2 linked regions of the Oryctolagus cuniculus genome follow. The protein of the gene in region 2 interacts with the protein of the main gene of each other region in a biochemical or structural test. Links are inferred from orthologs where the notes say so. Each region holds a gene or a part of one and is shown on either strand. Other genes may lie near its edges.

Region 1 (3,816 bases), on a different chromosome or scaffold from region 2:
TCTTGGTTTCTGTTTTAAACACCAACATTGCGAACCATTCCTCAACTTAAAAAATTAAATATTTTCCCATGTTCAACCTTAAATACAGATTTTTTTGATGTGTCCCTTATTCTCATTGTGACTTATCAAAGACTTTTTCCATTCAATTTAACTAAACCTATAATCTCATTTTTCTGAGGTAAGTTGCCTAAGATCAAAACATTGCAATGGCTTTAACAAATTGTATATGCTCCACTAATTTCACAACATGGTACAAAGAAGCTAAAGTAAGGCACTCATTCATCTTCACGGCAGGAATTCCATCCTGACTCCCCATTATCTCTTCACATGTAAGTAAACAACAAAGATGTGAACAAACCAGAAAAGGACTAAGATCTTTTCCTCAAAAGTGTTAAATTAGCAAAGAAAACCACTAGTAATGACAAAAAATTCAGATGGTCCCTCACTTCTTTAAAATTACTTTATATAATTTTCATTTAATATATTCCTTCTTTTCAACAGTAAAATGCCGAACAGAAAGTCTAAACTACTACAACTGTAAGCCAGCATTAAATAACGGGAATAGAAGGGAATGTATAAGGGAAGGGGGAAAAAAAAAAAAACATGACTACAGAAAATAATTACAATTACAATTTAGTCTAGCAATTATGATCCTCTATCTCATATCAGAGGGTCTAGGGTTTGATACCTGGTCCAGGCTACTGATTCCAGCTTCCAGCTAATGCAGACTCTCAGAGGCAAAAGTGATGGCTCAGGTAATTCACCTCCTTTCACTCATGTGGCAGATGTGGATTGAGTACCGGACTCCCAACTTTGGTCCAGCCCAGCCCTAGCTGATGTCTGTATTTAGGGAATCAGTCAGTGAACAGGAACACTCATTTTCTCTCTCTTTCTGCGTCTCAAATAAATAACTTTTTTTAAAAAAATTCAAAACATCAAGGACAGCACTGTGGCGCAGGGGGTAAAGCTATCAACTGCAATGTTGGCATCCCATATGGGCACCAAATCCTGTCCCAGCTTTCCACTGCTATTCCAGCTTCCCTGCTAATCGCCTGGGAAAAGCAGAAGTTGGCCGAACGTTTGGGACCTACATGGGAGACCAGGATGAAGCTCCTTCCTTCAGTCTGAGTCAGCCCTAACCACTGTGGCCATCTCGGGAGTGAACCAAAAGATAGAAGATCTCTCTCTCCCTTTCTCTGTAGGTCTTTTAAAAAAAAAAAAAAAAAAAAAAAAAATCCCAAACATTACCCACAGTTTGCCTCATAGAGGTCTACTTGGCAATTATCTACTCTTAAAACATTCTGTATGGTTCATTTAAAAAGTTACAAATTATAAATATTAACAAGAAAAGGATTCAGCATTCTCTTTTGCCCAAAATCAGCTGCTCGGGCACCTATTTGTGATAATGGAATTTTAATAGTATCCAAGATCATCATCCTTGGAAGACACATACTGAAAGACACAGAGGTGAAGTATCACAGTGTCTGCAACTCACTTCCGAACATTTCAGAGAAGAAAAGTACACTTCACATGCACATGAAAGCATTTACACACATATGCAGAGATGCATCTACGAGTCAAGTATGTCTACATTCTGTGCATGAAGGGTAAATACATGAGCACTGTAGGATTTGTATATGTGTGAAGTTCCTCAAAATAAAAAGCTGGAGAGAAAAGGACAATTCAGAAAGCCACTTAGCCATTCCTTGAGAAATACGCTCCAACCACAATAGACAAGGAGCCAAGAACCTATCTGACGGATATATCTCACAGTAACGGTAAAGACACGTTGTGGAACTCTGGAGACAAATACCTTACTTCAAGAAAAGACACTCACGTTGCCCATGTACTCCGAGAGCAGGTCCTGGAGGGCCTGGCGAACAGCATTGCATTCTGCCACAATTCGCTCACGTCGGTCATCACGCGTGCAGGAAGAGTCGGCCATCAAGGCAGCCCCACTAATGATGCTTTCCAGGCGCTCCTCCAAGGAAGGCCTAAAGCGCTCCTCACTGAAGCTCAAGGGGTCCACAATAATTTGTTTCTGTGGAGGAAGCATCACCAAATGTTAGTGCTCATCCCTGTTCCTTCCACTATTTAAGAAGGCACAGAAAGTAATGGTTGGGAATATCAAGATTTAAAACAAAGATCCCAACGCCTGAAAGGAAGTTATGCTTCTTGGCAGATGAAGGGCCATTCCATGTAAGCTGGCCTGTGGAAGGTCACTGCAAAAAGAAAATAGTGGCAGCAATACTCACCAGTCAAATGGGCTGGGCAAGGTATCATACCACAAATGCGAACAGAAATGTTACCATGTCCATAATACTTATTATAAATATCTACAGGTCAGCCTATAAATGCTTCACATAATCATCAAAGGAAAACTGCAAGAAAACTGTAAGTTCTCTCACTTTCTTATGCACAAAATATAAAACTGCTACATGATATTAAAAGAACTATTTTACCACAAAGTAAAAATAACACTGACCTCTGTCCTCCAAGTTTAAGACAGGAAAGGTATTTGACGCAGTTAAGTTTCCACACGGGATGGGATGTTCATGTCCCTACTGGAGTACCTAATTTGAGTCCTGGCTATTCTGCCGCTGACCCAGCCTCCTGTTAATGGACATGCTGGGAGACTGAAAGCATTCCATGCACTTGGGCCCCTGTCATCTATGCACAAGACCAGACAGTGTTCTGGCTCCTAGCTTTGGCCTGAACCAGATTTGGCTGTTGTGTCCAATTGGGGAGTGAACCAGTGGATGAAAACTCATTCTATTTTCTCTCTCTCTGTTGCTTTGCCTTTCAAATAAACAAACAAATAAATCTTTAAAAGGGGGGTAGGGGGGAAGATGGCACTGTGGTGCAGCAAGTTAAGGTGCTGCCAGTTCCAGTCCTGGCTGCTCTACTTCTGAACCAGCTTCCTGCTAATGCTGCTGGGAAGGGAGTGGAACATAGTCCAAGTACTTGGGACCTGGCCACCCATGTGGAAGATCAAAGGGAGTTCCTAGCTCAGATCACGTTACTGTGGACATTCAGAAAATGAACCAGATGATGAAAGATCTTTTTCTCTTTTTTTGATCTGCCTTTCAAATAAATAATTTTTTTTTTTTTTTTGACAGGCAGAGTGCACAGTGAGAGAGGGAGAGAGGCAGAGAGAAAGGTCTTCCTTTGCTGTTGGTTCACCCTCCAATGGCCGCCACGGCTGCCATGCTGCGGCCGGAGCACTGCGCTGATCCGATGGCAGGAGCCAGGTACTTATCCTGGTCTCCCATGGGGTGCAGGGCCCAAGCACTTGGGCCATCCTCCACTGCACTCCCTGGCCACAGCAGAGAGCTGGCCTGGAAGAACGGCAACCGGGACAGAATCTGGTGCCCCAACCGGGACTAGAACCTGGTGTGCCGGCACCGCAAGGTGGAGAATTAGCCTAGTGAGCCGCGGCGCCGGCCATATAAATTTTTTAAAGAAAAAAAATCCGTTCTCTGTCTTTCCTTCCCCCTCCCCACCACCCCCCCCAACTCCACGTGAATCCAGTTCTCCCAGTGCTGAGTAAGATCTAGTCACAAGCTACAGGTATAAGGTCAATTATCAACAACCCCAGGGCAGCAGCTATTGGCTTCCCTCCAGATTCCCCCCTTGATAACATTTATACTGGTAACCATCTACGCAGATATTGTGACTTTACTAGTTCTTTAAAGGGACTGTGTCCCTATTGATTTCAACTTAAATGCCAATTTTTTCCTAACGATAGCTTGCCCTTTTCCAATAAGGATACATTTCTTCACCCACTCCCAAAGAACTCCTAGTTTTAAAACTGAA
Region 2 (3,120 bases):
GGCCGCCTGCTCTGGAAACTCGGTCCTCTGTCCCCTCCCACAGCCTCAGCAGGCAGCGCTCAGGGGACCTTAGGCCACCTCCTAATCGGGTGCTCTGGCCCCAGACTGGGCAGGTGGGGCCAGCAGGGGCACAGGTGCCTCTTGTTCTCAGGTTTGCCAGGAGCACTGTGAGTGGCCATCATGTAAGCCGAGAGCCTGACTGACATGATGAGGGAGGTCAGCCGAGCACCAGCGGGGCGTGGCCAGGAAAGCAGGGGCCACAGAGCAAGTGCTTCCAGGTCAGGTCTGAGCTGGGTCCGGTGGGGTGGATGAAGCAGGCACAGCGATCGGTGCTGGCTGTCCCTGGGATGGCGGAGGACAGAGTGGGCAGTGGGGGATCAGAGGGGAAGTGGGCAGGACCCGGGGTGGGTCCACTGCAGACCCACAAGGGGCTTGGACAGCAAGCCACAGACCACGGCGGGTGGAGGGGCAGGGAGCCCCGTGCCTCCCCAACCATGCCCCTTGATGGCCCATCGTATCTGTGTTACTTTTATTTTCTTTGCTTTGGTCTATACAAAAAACCAATAACCAAAAACATAAAGCGATGATAATAAAACTCTCCACTGGGACTCCCGCAGCCCCCCCACCCATGTGCAGGGGGTGGGAGGAGCCAGAAGCAAGAAGAGAAGAGAAAGCCCCTCACTACACACCGCAGGGGGCAGCTGTGTGCGGGGGAGTGCGCAGGAGCTGTCCCCCAAGCACCCAGGGTGGGCCAGAGCTAGCCCCGCCCGCTGGAGAGGCACGGCGGGGTTCCCATGCCCCGTCTCCGTCCCCTCACCCCCGCACTTTTCATGAGAAGCTTTGGATTTCGGGATCTGGGGCCTTAGTTGCTCAGTGGGGTTCAGTGAGAAAAACCAGGCCCAGAGAAGGAACCGAAGCCCGGAGGCCGGGACTCGGGCAGCGGGAGACAGGTGGGCCAGGGGCTGCTGGGGGTACCGAGCGGGCGGCTTGCGTGTAAAGCTTCAGTGGCCAGGGCCCAGGACAGCAAAGCGAGAGGACACCATCCCAAGAAAGACCCCGCGGAGGAACTCCGGCGGCCCGGGCGCAGCAGCAAGGCGCAGCCCCGGCTCCCCGCTCAGGCACTTCTGTCTCCCCCATCGCCCGCACGGGGGCCTCTCGGATGAGGAGCCGCACCTGGGGGGAGGCAGACACAGTGGGTCAGGCAGCCTGGCAGACCTGTGCCCCCAGAAACTCGCACTACTCCCGTGTCACCTGCCCACCGCCCCCTCCCCGAGAAGGGCCTGGGGTCTCCCCTGGAACAAGAGGCTGGGAGGCATGGAACACCCCTGACCCCACTCCCATTCCCCCCACAGGAGCCAGGGTTTCAGCAAGAGGGTGGAGACGCGGCAAGGCAGGTGCCATGGTGGCCGGGAGGGCGGGGCCGTACCGGGGCGGGGGCGGCTAGGCGAGCATGTGGTCGGCGGTGGGGTAGGGAGGCCTGAGGCCATCGCTGTAGGTGTCGATGGGGTAGTCCCCGTCCATGTCCATGTGCATCTCCAGCGGGTCGAGGGGCACATCACTCGAGTACATGGGGCGGTAGGTGGCGTCCATGTCTGGGGACGAGAAGGGGGCTCCCTGTGGGGGTCTGCGGGCCACCTCCTGTGCCCCTGCCCACGGCCAGGGGCCTGACCTCACCCCAGACTCCCATGCCAGGGGATCCAGGCTGGAGCACACGTGGACTGCCACAGACACGGGCTGTCCCAGGCCCTGGGGAGGCCACTTGTACTTACCATCCGCATAGGGCTCGTTCACGGGGATCATGCTCTGCGCCTGCGCAACGAGAGGGGCGGGGCGGCGCTAAGGACTCACACCTGGGCAGCCCTCAGTTGGGGGAGGGGAGCGAGGCCCCCTTGGAGGAACACGGGATGGTGGGGGCGGAGACCTCACACCTACACAGCACCTCGGCTTTCTGCCTGCCACCCCAAACACTTGCTCTTCCTTTGGGCAGAATGAAACGGCCACTTTGGTGGGTCAAAACAGATCTGGGGGGCCGGTGGTGTGGCGCAGTGGGTTAAGCCACCGCCTGCAGCGCTTGCATCCCCTATGGGCACTGGTTCAGTCCCTGCTAACACGCCTGGGAAGGCAGTGGAGGATGGTCCAAGTGCTTGGGTTTCTGTTGGAGACCCGGATGGAGTTCCAGACTCCTGGCCACTGTGGCCACTTGGAGAGTGAACCAGTGGATGGACACTCTCCTTCTCTAACTCTGCCTTTCAAATGAATAAATAAATCTTTAAAAAAATAGTAAAGATATATATGGTTCAACCTAATTCCATGTGCTAGGAACTGCCATAAATGATCCAATTATAAAATTAACAATATGACGCTGACAGCATGCTAGGAGCCCTCAAATGTCGCCTTGCACCACCGCGCACTGCAGTTCAACGCAGGGTACTCACAGCCTCCCAGGCCGCCGGGTCGTGCTTGAAGAGCGAGTTGGTGAGCTCCACGGACACGCGCTTCCGGTAATCTGGATTCTTGTCCTCAGAGATGCGGAACAGGACAGCAGCGGCGTAGGTGGCTGAGTGGACAGGCAGGGACAGGCTGGGTCAGACTCGGGCCTCCACACAGCCCGCTCCCCCCTGCCCCGCACAGCCCCTCACCAGTGCCCTCGTTGCGGGAGTGCAGCAGCTCCATGAGCGGGGCAGAAGCGCCCTCGGCGTCAATGGCGTCGGCGGCTTCCTTGTCCTGGGCCAGCTCGCACAGCACACCTGCGGCCACACGCTGAATGTTCTCCACCGATGAGTACAGCAGCTGCAGAGAGCGCGCGGGGCGTGGTGGTGTGAGGCAGGCGGGCAGGCGGCCCGCAGGCCCGCACGGCCGGCCCTTTTCCACGTTCAGCCCAAGCTCATCCCAAAAAAGTGCGGAGAGCCCCGGAAATAAACAAACCAAAAAACCCGCCCTGGCCTCTGCTAACAGCTTGGCGCACTGCCAGGTCTGGCTCCCAGCCCAATTAGCATACAGTCGATACAATACTGAGTCCTGCTTTTTTGCATCTGACATTGTAGCATAAAGCACCTCCTCATATATTATTTAAGTTTTTCCTAGGGGGCAGGCACTGCGGAGCAGTGGTGTTAAGCCGCC

Evidence for each region.
Region 1: the proteins of JUP (region 2) and CTNNA1 form a complex in vitro, tested with the Homo sapiens proteins (2 studies listed by BioGRID). The link is inferred for Oryctolagus cuniculus from reciprocal best matches to the Homo sapiens genes JUP and CTNNA1.

Annotation. Positions count from the first base shown.
Region 1 is NC_091437.1:26,592,846-26,596,661, reverse strand, and holds part of CTNNA1 (catenin alpha-1), read right to left. Parts: intron 2,042-3,816; coding exon 1,838-2,041; intron 1-1,837. UniProt on the Homo sapiens protein: Associates with the cytoplasmic domain of a variety of cadherins. The association of catenins to cadherins produces a complex which is linked to the actin filament network, and which seems to be of primary importance for cadherins cell-adhesion properties.
Region 2 is NC_091448.1:20,947,519-20,950,638, reverse strand, and holds the end of JUP (junction plakoglobin), read right to left. Parts: intron 2,791-3,120; coding exon 2,640-2,790; intron 2,558-2,639; coding exon 2,436-2,557; intron 1,810-2,435; coding exon 1,770-1,809; intron 1,593-1,769; coding exon 1,441-1,592; 3' UTR 1,427-1,440; intron 1,174-1,426; 3' UTR 516-1,173; downstream 1-515. UniProt on the Homo sapiens protein: Common junctional plaque protein. The membrane-associated plaques are architectural elements in an important strategic position to influence the arrangement and function of both the cytoskeleton and the cells within the tissue.